Linked DNA regions of Elephas maximus indicus. The protein of the gene in region 1 binds, or shares a complex with, the protein of each later gene. Links are inferred from orthologs where the notes say so. Each region holds a gene or a part of one and is shown on either strand. Other genes may lie near its edges.

What was found. Proteins that work in one complex are often made in the same cells at the same time.
Region 2: THOC6 (region 1) and CHTOP share a complex: the UniProt entries of both Homo sapiens proteins name them as parts of the transcription/export (TREX) complex. The link is inferred for Elephas maximus indicus from reciprocal best matches to the Homo sapiens genes THOC6 and CHTOP.
Region 3: THOC6 (region 1) and THOC2 share a complex: the UniProt entries of both Homo sapiens proteins name them as parts of the transcription/export (TREX) complex. The link is inferred for Elephas maximus indicus from reciprocal best matches to the Homo sapiens genes THOC6 and THOC2.

What each region holds. Positions count from the first base shown.
Region 1 is NC_064830.1:60,084,939-60,093,133, reverse strand, and holds THOC6 (THO complex subunit 6 homolog), read right to left. Parts: upstream 3,303-8,195; 5' UTR 3,100-3,302; coding exon 3,061-3,099; intron 2,548-3,060; coding exon 2,432-2,547; intron 2,317-2,431; coding exon 2,252-2,316; intron 2,167-2,251; coding exon 2,063-2,166; intron 1,978-2,062; coding exon 1,940-1,977; intron 1,858-1,939; coding exon 1,809-1,857; intron 1,676-1,808; coding exon 1,604-1,675; intron 1,517-1,603; coding exon 1,414-1,516; intron 1,332-1,413; coding exon 1,282-1,331; intron 1,202-1,281; coding exon 1,139-1,201; intron 1,037-1,138; coding exon 926-1,036; intron 844-925; coding exon 709-843; intron 636-708; coding exon 555-635; 3' UTR 475-554; downstream 1-474. Other genes in the region: BICDL2 (BICD family-like cargo adapter 2), read left to right, coding at 1-128; TNFRSF12A (tumor necrosis factor receptor superfamily member 12A), read right to left, coding at 5,568-5,761, 5,968-6,072, 6,827-6,920. UniProt on the Homo sapiens protein: Component of the THO subcomplex of the TREX complex which is thought to couple mRNA transcription, processing and nuclear export, and which specifically associates with spliced mRNA and not with unspliced pre-mRNA.
Region 2 is NC_064821.1:191,477,016-191,484,263, reverse strand, and holds the start of CHTOP (chromatin target of PRMT1 protein), read right to left. Parts: upstream 3,173-7,248; 5' UTR 2,851-3,172; intron 1,907-2,850; 5' UTR 1,890-1,906; coding exon 1,825-1,889; intron 278-1,824; coding exon 124-277; intron 1-123. Other genes in the region: S100A1 (protein S100-A1), read right to left, coding at 4,870-5,013, 6,039-6,179. UniProt on the Homo sapiens protein: Plays an important role in the ligand-dependent activation of estrogen receptor target genes. May play a role in the silencing of fetal globin genes.
Region 3 is NC_064846.1:32,891,581-32,899,368, reverse strand, and holds the start of THOC2 (THO complex subunit 2), read right to left. Parts: upstream 3,173-7,788; 5' UTR 3,158-3,172; coding exon 3,087-3,157; intron 1-3,086. UniProt on the Homo sapiens protein: Component of the THO subcomplex of the TREX complex which is thought to couple mRNA transcription, processing and nuclear export, and which specifically associates with spliced mRNA and not with unspliced pre-mRNA.

The DNA of each region.
Region 1 (8,195 bases):
TGCGCTCACAGCGCCAGAAAGAGCTGAGTTCCGCCAAGTCTCCGCACCGCGCCTCACCCCGCTTCTCGCTGCGCCTGGGCCCCGGGCCCGCAGGCGGGTTCCTCAGCAACCTCTTCCGAAGGACCTGAGGGAGGCCAAGGGCACCGCCCTTGCCCTTTCTGGGACTGTTTCCTCTTCGGGCCAGTGGAGCCATAGGCTCCAGATTGTGTTCCAAGGGGGGCTGGTGCCCTCCCCATCCCGAAACCCAGGCAGGGGCTCACAGTGAGCAGGGGCCAGCTTTTGGGGCCAGGGGTAAGAGGTGGGTGGTGGGGCAGAGCTGCCTATTTTAGGAGTCTATAGGTCTATCTTTTCTAAGCACTGGGCACTCTCCAGGCCAGGATGACAATGTGTATTTATGTATCAAGATCAGACAGAGTAATATATAAATCACAACACCAGCTTGGCCTCCATTCTTGGGAAGGAAGCACATGGAAGAAACGTTGGAAACTTTATTTGTTAAAAAGAAAGGGAAAAAAAGCACTCCAAACTCCTGGGGTGAAGGGTGTGTTGGTGGGTCAGAAGGACAGGGAGAATGCACGGTAGCCCAGATTGGTGAAGACATCCACCCGGCAGCTGTTGCCTGCAGCTGTCAGGACCTGGAGACAAGAGGGGCATGAGGGCCCTGCCCAACCCCAGCGTCCCAGTATCCCATCCCTTCACTGGACCCACCTTGCACTCAGGAGCCGCTGGCTGCTGGTTGAGGCTGAGGCTGAGCAGCCCCGGGGAAGAGCCTGGTACCTGGGCCTTGAGCTCCCCGCTCAGCTGCCATTGGTTGACACAGGGGCCCTGGCCGGCAGATAGAATCTGTAGAGGGCAAGAGAGGGCTCAAGGGTCAGGGCTGGAGACGGGAGCCAGCAAGGGCGGCAGAAGGAGACAGAGAGCCTACCAGGTCCTGGTAGAAGGTGACGTGCTTCTGTGGCGCCCGCATGGGGAAGATGGTGGTGGGTGTAGAGGACCGCAGGTGCCAAAGGGTGAGTGCTGGGCCCCCTCCACAGACCTGGCCAGAAAGGCAGGGGTCCCCGGCCGCTGTGAGCCATGAACCCCTGAAAGCAGGGCCCAGAGCTGCCACCCATCCCACCCCACCCTCTGGCCAGCTCACCATCCAGTCTGAGTCGGTTGCCAAGCATCCGATCCAGCGCCCGTTGTGGGGCCTGGAGCACTCCTAGAGGGAGGAAGAAGAGAGTTGCGGATACAGAGAAGCTGGGGAAGAGCAAGGAGGATGGGGCTGGGGCATGGCCTCACCTCGTGCTTATAGACCTCGATTGTCTGTACCTCCTTGGCTGTGCGGAGGTCTGTGGAGAGAACCTTGAGGGGTGCCATCCTTGTCCCATCCTCCCCACCACCATCTCTCCCTCCAACCAGCCAGCCCCTTACCCCAAAGCCGCACGGCCCCATCCTCACCACCCGAAAGCACCTCGGGGCTCCGCTCCCGCAGCGCCAGGCAGTGGATGTAGTCCGTATGGCCCCGGAGGGCCCGCTGCGGGGAGAGGGGCTGTGTCAGGAGCAGGTCCAGAAAGCACCCCGCCCCCACGTGACCTGCCCCTGGCTCTCAGGCCCTGCTCACCGTGAAGGCCCCAGTCTCAAGGTCCATAGTGTGTAGCTGACAGTCTCCCCCAGCCAGGATAAGAGAATTCTCCTGCAAAGAAAGGCAGGGCAGGACTGGAAATCAATGACAAATCAGGACGGGGACAGGTGGAAGGACCAAAGTTTGGGCCAAGAACACAGCAGGGCGGAGCCCCCAATCACAAAGGACTTAGGGGGCCTCAGACCTTGGGGACGAGCAGCAAAGAATTGATTTCAGGCACTTCCAGGCTGGTCCTGGGGGAGGAAAAGCAAGGTCCGCTTTGGTTCAAGGGTGCCTACATACCCAAGTGCCTCCCCCCACGTGGCCCTGGCTCACCTGTATGGTGGCTGACAACGCCACAGCTCCTTGCTGCCCTTCATGGTAGAAAACGCCAAGTGACCTCTAAGGCTCTCCTTGGGCCTGGGCACCCAGCCTGTTCCCCAGGTCTACACTCCTTACCTTCTTGAGGATCTCTGCCCACAGCCAGGCCTTTACCTCCCCATCCCCGGCACTGACTAGCTGTCGATCGGTGGACACCATGCTGTAGACGGGCCCATCATGGGCTAAAGGGAAAGAACCTGAGCGACCCCATCTGGCCCCTTCCTCCACCCTGGGATCCCCAAAGCCAGACCTGACAGCTGCACCCACCTTGGAAGGTCACCACAGGCTTCTTACTTTCCTCTTTAGCCTCGGAGCTCAAAGCAGCGGACAAGCTGAAGTTGAGAAGGGAAAGGGGAGGGGGCCCAAGAGCCAGAAGCCGGGAGCATCAGTCCCAGGAAGGCCGAGTGCCAGGACTAGTGGGTGCAGGGGAACAGGGGCCATGGGTACCTGAAGATGGCAATCTGCCCGTAATTGTTGCCTGCCGCAAGGAACTTCCCACAGGGGGACACACTCTGGGAGAAGACAGTCATGTGCAGCCGCTGCAGGGCCTGAAACACCTCCATCTGGGAGGAGAGGTGGGATAAGAACCTGCAGACCTCTAGCCCTGCTACAGCCCAGCCCCCCACTGTCCAGACTTCTCAGCCCTCCTTCAAGGCAGCCCACCCCGCAGGCGCCTGCCCATACAACCCTGGGAGGCGCCAAGAAGAGGATGAGGAAAGGGAGAGCTCAGGTGTGCTACCTAATGGGACCTCGAGCCAGCTCCCTAGCTTCTCTACTCAGTTTCCTCAAGTATCAAGTGAACTCACTGGAGTTTGTGTCTCAATTAGATGCGCTAATGTATATAAACAGCATCGCAAAGGGTCTGCCATGTAAAAAGCGCTTAAGAAGTGGTTCTCTTGTCCCCAATACTTAAAAACGTGTTCACTTCTGGGGTACTCCTCTGGCTCCCGGTCTGAGTCCGATTTCCACTAGCAACCCACGCGCAACAGGGCTCGGGACATGATTCTTCGCCCGCCCGGTCGACCCGGGCCTGGAATACAAACCCCAGAATGCCCTGCGTCCCGTGCCTGCCTCACCTGACCCAGAGGAACCGCTTGTGGCACTACTCGCTCCATCTCGAGGACTACAAGTCCCAGAATGCTTCGTGAGACGCGGCTTCACGAGTCCGGACGTGCCCGCGACCAACTCGTCTGCGGCGCCCCACGTCCCAATACTGCCGCCGGTCCGGCGCGAAGGTGGTTTCCGCGTTCCGCCCCAAGCCCCACGAACCGAGATGAGCACCTTGAAGGCCGCGGCACTACGTGGCGCCCCCTGTAGCCCTGCTACGCCTGATCCCCTCCCCCACCCCGCTGAACAGACCCGCCTTCCAGCCGCGTGCCGCCCGTCTTCCGCGCCTGCGTGAATGCTCACTGCTGCGCGCGCCAAGGCCACGCCTCCCGCCGTGCCACGCCCCCCCAAGGCACCGCCCCTGTCGGGCGGATCCCTCCCCTTTGCTCGAAGGACGGGTAGCCCCAAAGATCCTGCCGCAGCCCCTAGAGCGTGGCCCCCGGGGTCGGACCCAGCGCGACCCCAGTGCTGCCTCAGGGGCGACCTGGAGCCTGGACGCGAGGTGCGTGTGAGGCCCCCGGGGTGGGCCTAGCCAGGGGGCTCAGGGCTGGTCTGCAGTATGACACATGGCGGGTGAGCTGGTGGAGCTTGGGCGTGAACTGAGACTGGAATGGGGCTGGGGGCTCAGGGCTGCTGGATGGCCCAGGAGAGGAGACGTGACTTAGGGGGTCAGCTAAGACAGGGATGGGGGCTGCTGGCTGAGGCTGCAGGCTCAGGCGGGCAGATCCTCTTGGCATGGGGCCAGGAGGGTGGGATGCACCTGGCTCTTGTCTCTTCTCAGCTTCCCTCTCCAAGCTGTGCCCATGAGCACCAAGCGGCGCCTGGAGGAGGTGCAGTGAGTTTGGAGGCAAGGAGGGACTCCCAACTAGACCTTGCCCACCTCTGACCCCCATCAGGCTGCCTCCCCTCTCCATATCCCAGCCAACCTGCCTTCCCTTCTTTCCCCAGGGAGACTTTGCACAAGCAGTTCTTGTCCGAGGAGAACATGGCCACCCACTTCTCTCAACTCAGACTGCACAACCACCACCCCTACTGCAGCCCTCTCAGGGCCTTACCTCCAGTCCTACCCCCACTCAGGTGGGCACCTTCCACCTGCCAGCCCCCTGGAGGATCACACTGGTCTTCAGCCCAGCCTCCAGGCCCTGCCTCATCCTGCTATTTTTAGCTTCTGGGTTGTTTCCCATCTTGACTCCTTGGAGGGTGGTGACCTGGATCTAGTGGGGGGTGGCTCTGCCAGGCCAGCCGAGCCCTGCCCTGTCATTTCCTCTTCCAGGAGCCCTTGCTCTGAGCTCCATCTGTGGTGCTACTCTGGGAACCTGATCCCTGAAGCCCTCCAGCTGCTGAGGCTGGGGGACACTCCATCCCCCACTACTCTGTTACCACAGCTGGGGACATAATGGAGCTCTGAGTACTGGTGGGTAATGTCCTGCCCACCTGCCTTTCTCCACACATAGGGGAGACCAGCACCAAGCTTCCCTGCTTCTCCTCCTCCACCAGACCAGGCCTCTGGGCATCAGGACCTTCCCCCCCACCAAGGAGGACACTGAGGACAGAGCCCTGAGTGGGAGGGCAGGAGGGGCAGGAGCTTGGGGAAGAAGGCATGCTACTGAGGAGCACTGAATAAAGACTGCTGAACAAGTGAAGGCTTCACTTGGGGCCTAGGGAGAGCTGGGGTGCCGGATGCGTGGCTTCTCCCTCAAGATATTCCCTGGAAAACAGTCTGGGCTTAGCCAGGCCCTGGCAGGCTGGGCTCAGGCATTGAGAATGTGTGAGTCAGAGCCTCGCCCCCACCCCCGCGGCTGCCTGACTCACTCCCTCCCTCCAGCCAGGGAAGTCGAGCTGGGACCCTGCCACTCTCCAAGCCATTTAAAGTTAAAAACTCTTTTATTAATAAATTCTCCCTCCCTCTCAAACTTTTTCCCCAAAATAAATATCTCCCCACTTTGGGGGCTAGTAGAGGCAGTGTGGTAGAGCCGGCCCCCCTAGAGGGCCAGCCCCTAGTGTTCAGAGCAGGTCCCTAACCCCCCAGGCTGAGACCCCTGTCAGCGTTTCAGCACATCTGAATGGGTGGGGCCTAGTGTTGTGTCTGCCCTTCAGGTCGGCCTGGCCCCCCAGGGCATGGGGGGTAGAGACCCCCTTGTGCAAATGCTGCAGTTCCTCAGTGTCAGTGGTCGATAGTGTGTGAGCTGGATGGGGCTCCTTTCTGTCCTGGAGCCTGAGACCAGGCAATGAGAGATACCTTGGAAGGCTCCCCAAAACCTCAGGCCTCAGAGATGATTCACCACCATCACCCCTCCGGGTGGCTGGCTGAGCCTGGCACAGGCTGAGTCTGGGAGGCAAGGGGTGGCTCCAGAATGAATGAATGAATGCGTGGGAGCACAGGCTGGCAGGGGGCGCTCACTGTCACTGGATCAGTGCCACACCTGGGCAGCCCTCCCCGCCAGTCTCCTCGATGGGGGCTGCAAGACAAGAGGGGTCACAGTGAGAAGGAGAAACTGAACAGTGACAGAGGCGGGCAGGCTGGGGCACACTTACTGGTAAACTTTTCTCTCCTGCGGCATCTTCTCCAGACCAGGAAGCCAGAAAGCAGCCCTACCACAAGGGCCAGGCTCAGGGCACCCCCCAGGATGGGCCAGAGCAGCGGGAAGGGGGCTGGAGGGGCTGTAGCACCTGGGGACAGGATGTGAAGTGAGACCTCACCCCCCAGATCTGAGCCTCATGCATTCCCCTTCCATTCACAGCTCTGATCAGAGCCCCTTCCCCACTCTCCCTCTTCCGGATTCTGCTCCAGATGGAAAGCCTACAGTCCCCTCTCCACCCCAGCATCCCTCTCTCCGGGTCCAGGGTCCACCGGGTCCGACCCCACCCCCACTCACAGCCCAGGCAGAAGTCGCTGCGTGGCCGCACGGGGCACGACGCACAGTCCATGCACTTGTCGAGGTCCGAGCTCCAGGAGGTGCCGCGGGGGCAGGGGGCAGCACCTGGGGAGGGGGCCTCGGGTCAGATGCTGGGGCGGGGCGCGGCTATTCTGGGGGCTGAGGTCAGGGTCGGCCGGCTCGAATGACTTGAGTCACCAGCGCCCTCCCCCGCATTCCTCACAGGTGACCGCACGGCCCGTCTGGGACACGGCAGTGGGATGTGGGAGAGAAGCGCCAGTCTCTAGGGGGGAGGGATCAGGTCCTCCACAACCTAGCCCCCACCCGTCGCTGGCGGGTGACTCACTCCCGGGCACCAGGCCCGACCCCGGCCCCTCCCCCCGCATAGCTGGGCACTTAAGTCACCGGACGGACGGAAGGGGGCACCCCACATGGCATAGGGGGCAAAGACGCCCGTGTCTCTCGGCATCTCCAATCTCGGGTCACTGGGGATGAGCAGACCCCATACTGTGCAGGCTGGGGGCGTGACCCGTTAGCAGATGAGACATCCCGCCCACAAACTTTTTTCTGCCCCCTCTTCGAGCCCCGACTTTCAGGAAGAAGCCCCCGACGTAGGCAGGAGGGAAAACTGAGGCCCGGACTGAGGATGAAGCTTAGAGCTGGATGGGATCTCCCCTAGCCAGGGAATGCGGTGCCTGGAGACCACCTGGCCCCGGACTCTCATGCCTGCTTCGTTCCCCTAGATTCGGCCCACATTTCCCAAGCCCCCAGACTCGGCACCCCTGCCCCCAGCCCTGGGTCCTCCCAGCCACGCGGCCCCCACATTTCCAAGCCGGGTACCGGCCCCGCGCCCGCGTACCTGGCGTCCGCTCCCCAGCCGCAGCGCACAACAGCGCCAGCCAGAGTCCCAGCACGAGAAGCCGCAGCAGCGGACGCAGCGGGCCAAGAGCCATGGTGCGCGCGTCCACAAACCGCCGCCGTCTGCTCCCTCTGCCAGCCTGCTGCTGGAGGCAGCGCGTCCTCGCCTCGCCCCCGCCTTCCGGGGCGGAGCCTCCTCCCACCCCGCCCCGCTCCTCACAGCGCCCAGCCAGTCTCCCAGCGCCCCGCCTTGCAAACTGGCTAAGGTCTGTCATTCGTTCAACAAACACTAGCTCTGCGCCCAGGACCCTGCAGGGTCGCAGAGGCGGGCCTGCCCTCTCGGTACCAAGTCCAGAGGGGGACGGCCATCAGAGAGACACGAAACAGCTCTCATCGCAGAGATGGTGGCAACTTTCTTAAGGGCCCCAGAGGCTTAACAATAACAACAGAACAAAAATAATCCCTAACATTCATTGAGAGTTTACCGCGTGCCGCTTAACCGCACCTTAGGAAGCAGTAGCATATTAAAATGCAGGCTTGTTTTTTCCATTTTGCAAAGTAGAAAACTGAGGTTTGGGAAGGTTAGGTGTGAATTGCCGAGGTCACAGCGGTAGGAAGTGGCGGAGTCGAGAGGCCAGCTCCGTTTGGCTCCAGGTCTCGCGCCCTCACCCACCGCGGGCCGCAAGTCACCAGCTGGACTGCGTGCTGTGCCCGGTCTCGAGTGCCGCCTTCTGACTAGGGTGGGATTCGCGCGTCGGGCGCGGTTTGGGCCGGGCTCTCTGCCCCTCCCCGGGGGCGAGGGGCAAGTGACGTCACGACCGCCTTAAGACCCCTCTCGCCTCCGCCCCATCGAACATTCTGCCACCTCCTACGAACCATTCTGTAGTTCTCTGCAGGTGTGCCGAGGGTAAGTTGGGGGGGTACCGGGAAGAAGACGCACCGAGGGGCCTGGGTGCAGGGTTCGTGGCAGCATGAGTGAAGTGCGTGTGGACAACCCGGGCTGCGCTCCTTGCGGTGAGACCCTGGGTTTGGGGCTGCGCCGCAGCCGCCGAGTAGGTTGGGTCCTTTGGCGGCTCCGGAGGGCTTAAACACCCCTCCCCCTCCCCAGGCACCGACAAAGGCACCGAAACCCCTGGCGCCCCTCCCCCATCTGCGCTGCCTCTCAGGGGCGGGAATCCCCTCCCCCTCACCTGAGGGAGCGGACCCTGCCCCTGGCGTCGCCATTAAACTCCTCCAGGACGCGCGGTCCCCAGCTGGGGCCGGCCCAGAAGCCGGGCACCCTCCTTCAGGGCTGAGGGCGGGCTGGGGCGCGCGGACTGAGCCGAACCGGGAAGGTATGGAAAGCACATGGCGCGCTCAGGGGTGGCTAG
Region 2 (7,248 bases), on another chromosome or scaffold:
AGAGAAGTTTCAGCTTTTGCCCTGAGCCACCTTGTAAATCATCCATCACGTCCTGACAGCCTCAGGGCTCTGCCTGACAGAGATCACCAGCTGCTTCTGGAGCATTAAGACCCATTCTCTCACCTGCTTAAGTTTTAATGCTGCCTGGACAGAGGGTCTATTCTCCATCTGCTGGGCCAGTCTTCTGTTTCTGGCACTGGCTAGCTGCTGTTGTTGCTGCATCGAAGCCCGAATATTCACTGGCATCGGCTGTTTGTTCTTCAGCATATTAGTAAAGCTTCAAGGTCGAACAAAATGGATGTTTAAATAAAAGCTTTATTACAAAACATTTATTGGCATTTTCATGGCTTGCTAGACCAGGAGCTCCAGATCCCACGAACTTTAAGTAAAGTGGTACACTTTAGATCAAGGCTGATGTGGGTTAAAGACTCCTCTGTTTCCACAAACTTGCAAGAATCAGAAACTTAGAAATGTAGCTAAGTGCAGCACATTCAATCAAAAGTGATAACAAGGGCTCAGGTAACAGCTTTTAGAGAAATGGAAGGTATGAAAAACACGCAATAAGCAGATATGATAACAAGAGACAGAAGATGTAGTTTCAAAGACAAACAAAGATAACCAAAACCTTGGGGAACCTCAGAGTGCATTCCAAGGGCAAATACAAGGAGTGACTAGAGCACCTTCAAAGCCCATGGAACTACTACCAGTTGCTGAGTCAATTTTGACTTATGGGGACTCCATGTATGTCAGAGTCGAACTGTAGTCCACGGTGGTTTCAATGGCTGCTTTTTGGGAAGCAGACTGCCAGCCCTTTCTTCTGAGGCACCTCAGGGGGGCGGCGGCCTCAAACCACCAACCTATTAGCAGCCAAGTGCCTTAATTGTTTGCACCACCCAGGGACTACGGAAATAGTACATCCATATATATTACAGGACTGCATCACATTTTCTTATGTTTTGTTTACTCAGTAGCTTGCTAATATGGACAGCTAGTAAGTATATCATACCAAAGGGGCTAGAGAAGCAGCACATATGCTTCAAAAAGACAAAAACAGACAGACAAATCTCCTAGCAGTCTAACATCAACTTAATAAATTTTTTGGCCAAAGGCCCTCAATGAACAGAGCTCTCAGAGACAAAAGCTACTTTAAATACCTAAACTTTTCTTAACCTCAAATGGACACTTTCCCTGACTCCAAATAATTACTTATGAGAAAGTTAAATTAGTTCAATCATTTCAGAGCTTGGGAAGACACTCTATTATTTCTGTTAAGGTAAGATGAATGGCACGAAAGAGAAGAACACAACTGTAAAAGAATCCAAAACAAAAACAAACTAAAAGCAGAATGGGAAGAAAGTGAAATGGAGCAAAGCAAGTGCCTCTTACAAGGCCCAAGAATGATATTCAAGGGCCTTTGGACAGATTCATGGCTTGCTACCTGCCTCTTACAGGCCAGACGCAACACTGCTGGCCTTGGACTGGGCAGCAAGCCTTCTGCAGCCAGGGTACCATGCTACCGTGCTGCACCACCCCTGTATCAACGTAAAAAAAAAATGTGAAGAGAGGGAGGGTGTGAGGAGTCTTTTTAAAATACATCCCACCAGATAAATGTTTCAGACAGCTTAACATAAAAATCTACTGAAAAAGGGGTTTTGAAACAACCGCCCAATGTGTGTACCATATTAAGATGCAACTAAGAACAGAAGTCTGTAGCCTTCTGTTGGTATTTAGTTATTTTAAAACCGTTTTTGTGCATTGGATCCCAGGGCCAATTTAAGTAATGTTTTCTTATGAACGAGCTGAAGTTGCTGTTGGCTGCCTCACCGCTCATTTAGAGACATCTTGGTGGTGCTTTTTAGCACAACTTTCGGAGCTGACTGTGCAGCCATCTTCAAATCCCGAGAATCTACAAAGGATAATGGACAAAATGAGCAAATTGGAATAACAACGACCTCTTTCTACAAGGGCCAAGGCCCGAACCAACAACAAATGGAAAGACCTTCACCACTGACTATTGAAGATCACATGAAAACACATTTCAGTTGCTTAAGTTTTTAAGGTAATTACTTCAAACTATTAAAATTTGAAGCCCACAGAACATAAAATATCAGCCAAAGTCTCAAAAATGGTAGCAGAACCAAAGATGGCAAAAAGGGGTGTTAACAGCTTGGCTTTTAATCTAGATCAGTTCTCAACTGGTAGTGTATGGCAACATATGACTTACCCAGGGAGCTTTTAAAACTATAGAAACCTAGGCACAGACCAATTAACCACAATCGGTGGGGGTGGGGCTGGGGATCAGCAATGGGGGGAGGAATGTTAGCCAGGTGCCTCTAATGCGCGTCTAAAGTTGAGAAGCATTGATCTGGAGAAAAAACAGGCATACTTGGCTTCAAAACTGGCTTTCGACGTTAAAATCGAGTAGTGGCCTTAGCAAGGGATTGGGGAGCTTGACGATGGAGTAGAAAAGGCTTCCTAAATAGGCATTCACCTGAGAGCTAGCTCCCAGAGAGCTCTCTACAGAATGTAACGCTAAAGCCACCGTTAATTTTCAAGCCAAAGTCCCACAGCCCTCACTTAGCCTCTCTACCATCTCAAAACCTGGGGAAGACAGCCAGCTTTGCTCAACTCGCCAAACAATTCTCCTTTTTTCCCTGTTATCCCCCATCAATCCCGCCACCAGTTTCCAGTTGAGCCTCTCCCCACCTCCTCCTCCCGGGCTCCGCCCCCTCTCGGGGGCGTCCTCACTCCAACACCCGGTCGGCTTCCACATGCCACCACCCCCCACTTCGCGACCGCCAGCTCCTTCCGTTCCCCAAGACTCTCCCCCTCCTCACTGCAGAAACGCACCAAAAGAAACGGACGCCAGTGCTCCTCCCGGGGCTGCCACCACGGCTGCGGCAAGCGGGCCGGGGACCGGCCGAACCTGAGTTGACGGTGGGGGGCTCGGGGTAACTTGGTGGGCGGTTGGTTAGATGCGTAATCGATAGACTGCTAGGCTAGCTCGTTGTTGTTTGCGGGCTGTTTGGCCAGTCCGCCTGCTCACCCAGCCTGCCTTTTCCTTCTTTTCGTCTATGCCACCACAGCTGCCGCTGCCGCTGCCGCTGCCGCCGCCGACGCCGCCGTGTCCCGCTCGACGTCCAAAACAAAATGGCCACCACGCCCCGTGCGGAGTGGGGCCGGCTAAAATGGCGTCGACGCTATTACGTCAGGCGTCAGATCCACGCACAACTAGGGGGCGGGAAAGACTTTTGCTACTTGGGCACGAGGCTGAGGGGCGGAGCCGCAGGGAGGAGGCGGAGCTTTAGTAAAAGGCCCTGTTTGTGTTACACCAAGCGCTCCGACCGCGGAGGGGCGTGGCCAATGGCCCTAGTGTTGAGGCTTGACGGGGCCTTCACGTTGGAGGCGCCTCGGTTTAGGAGCTGTAGACCCCTGGAGTCCTTCGTAGTCAGGGCCACTGAGACGGATTCAGTCTCGAAGAAAAATGTTTTCGTATCCCCTTGTTTACTCCTTCCCTCCTAAGATAGACCGTCTAAGTCTGACCGTCTAAAAATCTTTCCGCGGAATTTTACTCCACCTCTTGCAGATCACGGAGCCGGGCTGTCCGCTCAACCCCATTCTCCCTATTTTGGGAGTTGAGAACACTTTCCCGGTTCCTGCGCCATTCACCGCTTCCCGTCCGTATTAACCTCTCCACTTCTTTCCGTCCCCAATTTGGCCCGAATATTGCTTAGTCCTTATTTGGGGAGATCTTTGCGTCCCTGCTCACCCTTTCATGTCCTCCCTCTCCACCTGCCAGCCATGTGAATTTTGACACAGTTCTATAAAGGGACTTTTTTTATGTCTGGATACACAACAGAGTGCTCAGATATTTGAGACATGAGTGAATGAACACATCTTCAACCCTTCCTCCACCTTACTTATGCATCAGATTCTTTTATTTCTCTTCCTAGCACTTGTGTGTATGTGTTTTAATGGCCCGGTATCCTTGCTGGACTTTAGCCATGTGAGAGTAAGGATGGTGTTTGTTTTGTTCACTGCTGTATCCTAAGTTCCTACACAATGTCTGGCACATGGTACCAGTTACCAGTTGCCTTGAGTCCTTCTGACTCATGGCGACCCCATGTGTGTCAGAGTAGAACTGTGCTCCACAGGTTTTCAATGGCTGATTTTTCAGAAGCAGATCAGCAGGACTTTCTTTTGAGGCACCTCTGAGTGGACTCTAATCTTTATCCTTTCAGTTGGTAGTCAAGCGCTTTAACCTTTATGCCACCCAGGGACTCCCTAAAAAAAACCACGACCATAGGGACCCTATAGGACAGAGTAGAATTGCCCCATAGGGTTTCCAATCAGATTCGAACTGCCGACCTTTTGGTTAGCAACCGTAGCTGTGCCACCTCCTTAAGCACATTGGTAGGTCCTTAGTAAATACTGGTTAATGTTGAATGGAGATTCTTTTTCTGGCTTTATAGCCAAGAAGCTGATGTCTCTTCCACTTAACAGCTGGAACCCTAAAACCCCACATTGCTGGGCCTTGAGCATTCCTCAAGTAGGAGGATGTAATGCAAGTGACCTCTTTCCGAATAAGACCCTTCCCCAAGTAAGGCTCCTCCCCAAATAAGGCTAGTCCTGAGTGAGCAGTCTTTACTTCTCCACCCACTTCTGGACCCCAGAGGAGACAGACAGCAGATGGCTGGCGAGAGAGAAGCCTTTAATGAGAGAGGAGTTGCAGGCCTGACCTGCTACTCTTGCGCCCTTGATGGGGAATGGGGAATGTGGGGAGGGAAAAGTGGGGTGAGGGGAAAGTGGGGTGAATGGGCAGGTCCGGCACTGTAGAGGGGAAGGGCGCTGCTCACTGGGGCTGCCTGCTCAGCTGCTCTCCCAGAAGAAGTTGTTACAGGCCACAGTGAGGGCAGCCACCAGCACCACATACTCCTGGAAGTCCACCTCCCCGTCTCCATTCTCATCTAGCTCCTTCATCACCTTGTCCACAGCGTCGGCATCCTTCTGGGCCTGCCAAGGGAGGAAAGGAAGGGGCAGGTGTACAAGGAGTATAGGGGCCTAGCACTGAGTCAGTGTTAAGGGAATAGTTGATTGGGGAGAAGGAGACAGAGGTGAGCAAGAGGGAGAGCTACATCCAATGGAGCTCCTCTGCTCCCCTCCTCAAAAGTAACAAACATTTATGAACTGGTTGCCTAGAGAATAAGCTCCTTAACATGGCAGAGAAATAGTATTAGCAGAAATTACCAAACGTTGAGTGCCTACAATGAGCCAAGCAATACACTAGGAGTTTACACGCATTATCTGATTTAAATCTTAAGAAAAATAATATGAGGTAAGTTTCATTATTCCTATTTTAGAAGAAAAAAATTGTCAGTCAGTGGTTAAGTAATGTGCCCAAAGTCACAAAGCTAGAAAGTGGTGGGGTTAGAATTTGAACCTAGATCTAATCAAACCTCAAAGCCTGTGCACTTTCTACTGTGCCTGTGGCTTCTTCTTTACTACTGACCCCTGTTAGCATCTGCGGCCTAATTATCTGTATGTTGCACTCCAGTCAAACTACTGAGCAGGTTCCCTATTCTTCTTCTGTCTCCCATGCTTTTGTTCATGCTGTTACCTGCTGTCTACATTTACCCCACTTATCTACCAGTGGAAATCCATGGCTCAAGTGTCACCTGTCTGGAGAAGCTGGCTCACTCTAATCAGGTTAATATTCTGCCACAAACCTTTTTGGGACCCCTGTTAAGGCTCCGTATATTTCCCGTAGTTCATGGTTAACTTTCAAGTGTCAGTCTTTCCCTTCTAGGCTGTGAGCTTTGTTGCTGATGGATCTACACAGGGCCTAGCACTTAGCAGGTGCTCAGTAAACCAGGGCATTTGGACTTGAACCAGGAAAAGCAGGGGAGCCTGGAAAAACGCAGGAGAGGAGCCTGGGAGAGCAGAGAGATGGTTGGGCTGACCTGGGAGTAGGATGAGTAGATGGCAGAAAGGTGCCCACTCCTTGCCCACTCCACCCTGTACCCCCACTCTTTGCTCACGTCCAGGAAGCCGGAGAGCTCAGTCTGCAGCAGCTCTTTCAGCTCCTTCTTGCTCAGCTTGTACTTGTCCCCCTCCTTGCCCGAGTGGGCGTGGAACACGTTGATGAGGGTCTCCATTGCAGTCTCCAGCTCAGAGCCCATTTCGGCAGCTCACCTACCCCCCAAGATGGAAGTGAGCTGGGGACCAAGCCTAGGGTGTCTGGGGCTGGGGTGAGGGGAGTTCTGGCCTCAGGCCTGGTCCGAGGCCAGAATAGCCACGAGATCAGATCCCCACACCTATTTATCTTTCCTTGAGATTTTACAATGTGGGGAAAACCCAAACAGACCTAAATCCAGACCAGATGGAGTCAGGGTTTGGGCATGGAGATAGAGCAGATGGAGCTGGGTTGGCTCTGAAGTCCTGCAGAGGACTGCTGCAGTGGGTCCTGGCTGCCTGGGCAGAGACTGAGGAGGGTGGGGCAGGCAGGAATGGTCACAGGATGTGGCCAGGCTCTATTTTTATCCTGGGCATTGCCTGCGCAGCACAGCCAAGTTCTTTTGTAGGAGGTGGTGGGCTGGGGTCCTCTCCACAACCTTGACTCCACTCCCCAACCCTAGCAAGGAGTTAGTCTGGTGCCCTCAGTGAGCCTGAATGGAGGGGTAGCAGCCAGAGTGAGTGGCCCAAGACTTCTTGGGGGAGGATCTCACCGCCCCTGAGCTTCCTGTCAGCAACCTAGGGAACCCTTTTGGTGCCTCAACTCCATTATCTCCTGAATATGTCATTTTGGCTTCCCTGGGGTATGCCTCCCATTACCTCTAGTTTGGCTCCTCTCACTTCACTGTAGAATCAGCCCCTTCATCAGGTGAGTGGTGGGAAGGGAGCCTTAACCCTTTATCCCTAGAGCCAGGGCTTCCATAAAGGGGCAAGGAGACCTGTAGGGCCTTGTTGTCCCTGCTGCTTTTCATCACCCCTCTCCCCAGGCCCAGCCTGCTCACTGTGGGGACAGTGGGAGCAGGGGGAATGGGGGATGGTGTGTGTTGGAGGAGATAAAGGGCTAAAGGTGAGCGGTCCTTTGAGTTCAAGGGGCTGGGAGAGGAGAATGGAGGGGCCTATTGAGGAGAGGGCTGGGGTGAGGAGCCTGTCAAGCCAGGGGGGCCTCTTTCCCTTGGCCCTGGGAGGACAATCAGCCCCTTCACAGTCTCAGGGGGCAGCTCAGATGTCTCAGATCAG
Region 3 (7,788 bases), on another chromosome or scaffold:
GTTAATTCATCTCCTTAAAAAGGAAAGATCCATCAAAGATCCAATTTTAAATATTGGTCATACTCTTAAGAGCCAGAACTATAAATGGACTCAATTCTAATTTGGTGACACACTACCTTTGTTTTTAACATTTTCATTTGCTGTTTTACACTTAAAAGAGGCTGTTTTCAGACAAAGGAAAGATTTTTTTGTAATATATTTACAACATAATTTGTTCTGTCTAATGAAATTGCTAACATCTATCTTTAGTAAGATGACAAGAAGTCCCAAATTAGGCTATATGCAACAAAGTTTTTATAGCGGGAAAAGGAATCAAATATATGAAAACTAAGTATCAAGTGGTGAAATGATTGACTATTTAAAATATTCCATTATGTTACACAGTTAACTTCAGACACTTTATATAACAGAATTCAATTACAAAACTGACTATACTGATTTGGATCTAGTATAATTCAAACCACATTCCACAAGCCATGCAATAACTATATACATGTAAGTCCTCGTAACAATTCTGAAGCAGCTCTTCAAACTCAGGAGCTATGACAGATATCATGGAGCGTGTAAATATACATAAAATGAATTCAAAATTCCATTCTGGCTAGGTATTTTAACTCCCAACATCATTTTGTTTTTCCCCAACCACTGCCAGTTAGAAGCCAAACAGAAGGCTCTTGATTTTACTTCCTAGCCCATACCACTCATTCTAAGGTGGGAGCAATAATAGTAAAACTGTCAAAAACAGCAGGAAGGAGAAAGTTGAGCAATCTCCAAAGATGACAACCCCTGAATAAATAAGTTGGCTTTAAAAGTAAACAAAACAGACAGAAAACCAAACCCACTGCCAGCAAGTCGATTCCTACTCACAGACCCTATAGGAAAGAGCAGAACTGCCCCATGGGGTTTCCAAGGTTGTAATCTTTACAGAAGCAGACTGCCTCACCTTTCTCCCTTGGAGTGGCTAGTGAGTTGGAACCGCTGACCTTTCAGTTAGCAGCCAAGCGCTTTAACCACTGTGCCCCAGGGCTCCTAACAAAACAAGGAAGTGATTTATCAATCTTTTGGGTTATCCTAATCTAATACAGATGATGATCATCCAGTCTTCCCTGCATGCACACAGGGGACTTAACAGATAATTGTTGACTGGCTGTGTAAGAATCTGGACAATGTTCATGACAGTTCAAAATGAATGTTTATCAAATAGACTTCTCTATCCGTTAATAGGAAACCCTGGTGGCACAGTGATTAAGGGCTACAGCTGCTAACCGAAAGGTCAGCAGTTCGAATCCACTAGGCACTCCTTGGAAACGTTATGGGGCAGTTCTACTCCGTCCTATAGGGTCGCTATGAGTCGGAATGGACTCGACGGCAACGGATTTTTTTTTTTTTACCGTTAATAAACCAATAAGCACTCCAAGCACGTGCCAGAAGGGCTGGCAGGAGGGAAGGGGCAGAATCAAAAGAAATATGAGACACAGTCCCTACTCTTCAAGGGCCTCTCAATTCGTTGGAGAACAGAAATAAATACACATAAAAAGTCAAAGACCAATTAACTGCGAACTGAGTGCTACAGACTTTAAGCGCAAGGGCTGTCCCGCTAAGTTGAAACATCTATAGGTTGAAATATTACTATTAATAGCTATCACTATGGCACTTACTATATGCCAAGCGCTTTACGAGGATTATCCTTTAGTCTTCACAATGCTCTTCTGAATAGAGTACTATTATTCCCAGTTTATTCAAGGGAAAACAGTCAAAGTGGTTAAGGAACTTAACCAAGGTCACTCAGCCAGTTAAGAGGCTAAAACGGCCGCTTACTCAGGCAATCCAACTCTAGGGCTCCACTGTTAAGACTTCGTGGCCGTGCGCGTAGGAGGGGCGGTGGGCCATTGGGGCGGGCAATATTACACCCGTAAGATCCAGCAACGCGTTCCCCGCATTTCCTTCCGAGAAATGAAGTTCCAAAGATTCTTATCTTTTCACACCAGCAACCTTAAACAAGCTACTGGAAGGGAGGATGGGGGCAACGACGACAAAAAGGGCTAGCAAGCATTCAGCTCATAGAGGGTTCAGCTTTAGCTTCTAAAGCAATTCAGTGAAGGAAATTAGAACTAAGTTGTTTTTAAACCTGTGGTTTCTTTTGCTGCTTAAACGGTATTTTTTTCACAAGGTGGGGGGAGGGAAAGAGCGAGCGAGCTGAAAATTTGGGCGAGGAAACCGCGAGAACGGCAAATAACTGTTTTCGGTGTTACTGGGGGAAAAATTAAGTTTTATGGCTAAAGGAAACGCGTTATCCTAGGTACTCGAGAAGCTTGGAAAGTTGCCAAAATTAGTTGAAGTCCCAGGACAAAATGGGGTTTAGGAAACATTTAATGACGACAGTTGAATCCAACCCGAAAAGGCTCTAAGGTGAAAAGACGAGCAAAGAAATGCCGGTAGGTCTTCGAGGAAAGAGGCAATCCCTGCCACACTTCCCCACGGCCGCGGCGCCGCGCGAGGCCGGGACAATCCGAGAGATCGCTCCCCGGGAGGACGAGAGGTGCCAAGCGGGGCTCTTCGCGATGCCCGGGGCTTCGCGGCGGCGGGCGGAGAGGAGGGGAGGGAGTCCGGGACGGTTCGCCCTCCTCGGACTTCGGGCAGAGGAGGTTCCGGGCTCCCAACTGCGGAGTCGAACGGGTGCAAAGTGAAGAAATGGGACAGAGAGAGGTGGAGAGTCCGAACCCCCCCCCGGCGGCCCCGTAAAGAGAAAGGAGCCAAGTGAGCTCAAGCGAAGAAGGGGACAAAAAGAGACCGAGCAGGAGCGCAGGGACCCGCGGGGGCGAAACGGAGTTCTACGAAGAGGCTAAAGGAAGCCGGGGCTACCGCAGGAAGCAGGGACTTTACGGAGGCCAGGGAAGGAAGGAGGTCGGCGGCGGTTACGAGCACCTCTTCTCCCTGAGTTCGAAACTCCCAGACAACCGTCCACGCCCGCCGCCCTGATGGGGGAGGGGGCGCATCTTTCTCCCCAACCTCCCGCCACACAAGAGAGGGCGGCCGCCGCCCGGGCCCGGCCTAGACGGGCGCCTGCCTCCGGCCTGGACACTCACAATTCGCCTCTCCCTGATTTCTCCCAGTTCTTTATCCACTCTGCGGGAACCACCACAGTTGCGGCCGCCATCTTCCCCTCACTAGTAGCAAAAGCCCGGATGTGTAGCACGCGAGCGAGGGGTCAAAGGGGAGCACCGCCTACGAGGAATGCCGGGAGCTGAGAGTTCGGTTTTCGATTTCCCGCCCCACCTTCCTCCTAACTCCGCGTGAGTGAGAGGCCCGCCGGTCAACGGTGAGGCCGCGCGCGAGCCGTGGGCCCCTTCGCAAAGTAACTGTATCACACGTGCCCTCCGCCACCCTCGCTTCTCTTTAGAACAGGAAACGTGCCGTCCCCAGTCTGACTTGTAACTCTTAGGTTCCATAGTATCTACAGGCGACTGTTCAAATTCGACTGTAATTTATCTGCTTGTATCTCCAGTGTCTAGCATGTATTGTATGCGTGCTATACTTTGGTATTGAGAAACAGTAGGCCACGATGCCTGCCCTCGACGAGTTCATAGTTTGTGTGAGAGACAGACATAAATTACAATACACTCTGCTCAGGGCTGAGATAAAAAGAAACTAGTCGGGTAGGGGGCGGGCATTCACTGCGCGCCAGGCATTATGCTAATGCAAGGGAGGGATCCAGAAATCGGCCCTGGGAAACACAAGGAGCTACGTATTCTGAAACCCTACTCTGTCTATCACTATTGTAACCTTACGCAGAACTAGGGAGCGCAAGTAAGATGAGAAACTGAATATTTACGTAGTCTCAAAGTATATTCCCAAAAGATAGTTACTATTTCAAAGCGTGAAATAGAAGCTTTACAATGGAAAAACATGGTGGACGCCGTCCTAACTGAGGAAAGTAAGCAGCCCCAGAAATGAGACAAATGGACATCAAGCGCCTCCTGATGAGGCACTAAGAAAAACGCTGATCGATTTTGCAGTATTAGTGCCAAAACTTTGCATAACCTAAATCTGATCCTGAGGAAACATCGGACAAACTCAAATTTAGGAACGGTCTACAAAATAATTTGTATCCACTCTTCAAAATTATCAAAGTCATGAAAGACAAAGAAAGATTGAGGAACTCGTCCAGATTAATAGAAAAGAGGTAGGACCACTAGTCCTGGACGGAAAAAGCACTATTTTTAACTGACCAAATTAGAATAGCTGTAGACTAGGTAATAGTATCGTATCAATGTTAATTTCCGATTTTAATACATGTACAGTAGTTATGTAAGAGAAAGTCTTTGCTGTAAGAAAATTCTCCCTGAGATGTTTCGAAATAGTGCGGCGTTGTTTTGCAACTTACTGCAAAATGTTTCAGAAAAATAACTCATAGCAAGTAAAGCAACTGTGGTAAAATGTTCACGTTTGAAGAATCAAAGGGCATATGGAATCCTCTGTACTATTTTAGCAACTTTTAAAATAAAAAGTTTTAAAATGTTAATTCAAAATAAAAGTTAATGTTTGTTTCAAAACAACATTTCATGTTATGTCAACATTTGTTTCAAAATGAAATATTTCATGTAGATATATATATGCTGTTGTTCCAAAAATACAACCTGCTGCCAACTGAGTGGATTTCAGCAGAGTAGAACTGCCCCGTAGGCTTTCCAAGGAGAGCACCCGGTGGATTCAAACTGCAGACCTTTTGGTTAGCAGCCGAGCTCTTAACCACTGTGCCACCAGGGCACCACGTTGTTAAAAAAAAAAAAAAACCAAACCCGTTGCCATGGAGTCGATTCCGACTCCTTGTGACACTATAGGACAGAGTAGAACTGCCCCATAGAGCTTCCAAGGAGCACTTGGTAGATTCGGACTGCTGATCTTTTGATTAGCAGCCATAGCTCTTAACCACTATGACACCAGGGTTTCCATGTTGTTGTCAGTTGCCTTCAATGTTAGCCACATCCCTGTCCTCAACCTACTAGTTGTCAGTAGCACCCCCATACACACACTAGTTGATACAACCAACAATGTCTCCAGACATTGCCAAATGTCTCCTGGAGGGCAAAAGGTCCCCTGTTGAGAACCACTGATCTACAGTATTCTGCTGTATTGTGGCTTACTTTGCCACTATGTCGCAGTGATTTCTTCTTACAAGTACTGAACTGTACAGTATGAATACTATGCAGTATGCCGTAAATGTGGTATGAGCTAAGTGCAGTGGTGCCCTTTGAGGCTTTTGAAGTACACAGACCTTGGTTTTCCTTTCTCCCAGAGGCCACAAAACTATTTTTACATGCTATGACAATTCCTTTAGGAATTCCTCAGGGCTAATTGGCTTCTTGCTCAATAAGATTGCGAAGCTACTGTATCTTTTACATCCTTGTTGTTGGCTTACCTGTTCTTTGCTATCAGTGTCTGGTATTGTCTTGGCACCTGGGAGTACTGTTCCCTGGTGACCTAACTGGCTCAAAGGTAGCAATCTGCTAGGCAGGGACTGAGATCTGTGGTGATGGCTAGGGACTGGTTAGTATCAATGTTGATAGTCTGATGCATGTAGTCATAGATTGGTTTTGGGTGATGGTAAGGTCAAGCAATCATTTCACTTACCATCTCAGTGAGAATAGATAATGGAACCAAGAAATAGGCACATAAAAATAAACCAAGGCAAAATAAGTAAAATAATAAAAGAATGAATACAAAAGGTTTTCCAAGATCCCGACTTAAGTTCCTTGGAATAAGGTACCTAATAGCTTCTGCATTTTATGCTAAGGCTGTTTATGCCAAACCAATCAACTTGGCTCTACCTTGACTGAACTGCTCGTCTGGTGAGAAAAAGGTCCTTCAATCATCTGTGTCAGGTAGTATAGTTAGGTCTTCAGGTTGGAATTGGAATCTCACAGAAGAGGCAGTGTGGGAAGAGGTAGTGGTCCAGATGCCTGTGAGGGAGAGGTTTGTCAGAGTCACAGGGCAGATATGGCCATAGTTTGAAAACTGGGACATGTTAACACTATCTGTCTGCTAGGTTTGAACAGGGCCCAGATTATAAGGATTCTCACTATCTCCTCTAAGCTTTTCGTTGTTTCTCTCCCTACCATTTAATTTTCCTCTTCTCTCCCACTTCAAACCCAAGCAGTCTGGCTCCAGAGCTGACAATCTTACCTCTATTGTGCCTGAGCTTGAACCCAAGTTCTTCCACTTAGCTATGTGACTTTGGGAAAGTTAATCAACTTCTCTATGCTTCTGTTTCTTCCCTTATCGAATAGGATTGAAGGGAGCCCAATGACTTACACTTTTCTTTCTTGCCCAAATTTCTAAATCAAATTTTAAAAAAAGAAGAAAGGGGGAGGCAGCTAGTAGAATACGGTTAAATCTGTAATCGATTGGGCCTCTATGAGGTGCATAAGGCAATTTCACCTTTGTTCTCAGTTCCTGAGAGCTGGAGGACAACTGAGACTAATGAGTGGGGGCTAACCAGAGCAAGAAGGACCACCTGGCGGCCTGATGTTGACTAACCTCTAGAGGCGTAATGTATCATGACCACATGGTGAGACTGATAAAAGCCCTGAGCCCTAAGGCTCAAGTGGACTTCCTGGTTGGTAAGAACATCTGCTCTCAGGAGGGTAGTGTGTCCCTTTGGGGTGTGGAAGCTCCATGCTGGGACCCCTCCCAGACCTCACCCTACGTGCCTCTTCATTTGTATCATTTTTGGTTGTAATAAATGTGTAGTCATAAGTATGGTATACTTTCTGCAATATTCTGTGAGTCATTCCAGAATATTATCAACCCAAAGGGGCAGTGAAAGCCAGCAGAGGCTGGCGTCTGCCTATTTGGCAGTCTAAAGGATGGTGTCCATCTAACTTGTGAGCTCTGACCCAGCTCTGGGTGGGTAGGGTTGGAGAGAGAGAGTACCACTTGGAAGGCTGGTGATGAGGATGGAGAAGTAGGAAGGTGTAGACTATATCAGTCTCCACATTTTGGGGATTGGTTTCATGCTGATTCTTAACACTCAACTGGCAATGAAGGTGGGATTTGCCCCTTACTTAGTACAACTGGCAACAAGGATGGGATTTGCCCACTTTGCACCTTACTTAGTACAGCCTTCTAATACTTAAACTCCAAAATCAGACTGACCCACTCAGTCACATGCAGCACTGAACCAGGGCAAGCCTCCCCCTGACCCCACAGGGGCATAGGTTACCCTTATAAAAACTGACAGCATTAATAGAACTGAGCAGAACATCTGTTCTCTTCCCATGATGAAGTAGAAAGGTAGGGGGCCAGGCTACACATGACCAGTTTCTTCTTCCAAAGGGACCCATCACGTAAGTCACAGCTCCTAAAGAGGGGAGTTGGAGGAACAGTGGAGAAATTAAGGAGGCAGAGAGTGAAGGGAGAGAGGCAAGTAGTATTAGTCTGTGGAGCAGGGCCCCGCCCCCACCGAGAAGGATACATCGGGAGTGGGAAATCATATGCTCCCCTTAATGGCACCAATTTCATGGGACTATTGTGAGGATAAAATCAGATGACAGGTGGTAATACATGCTTACAACAGTCCCCAGCACATAGTAAAAGCTCAATAAATATTAACTATTACAATTTGTGTGGGCCCTGATCATGGCAGGTACTATTTAGTGGGATGCTGAAAAGTGTTATAGATATGGACAGACACTGAATATGGGCTTTTGCCATGTGTGTATTGCAGAGATTGTTGGTATAGGCCTTATTCTTAGGCCCTTGTTTGGGTGGGGGCTGTTTTAGAGAAGG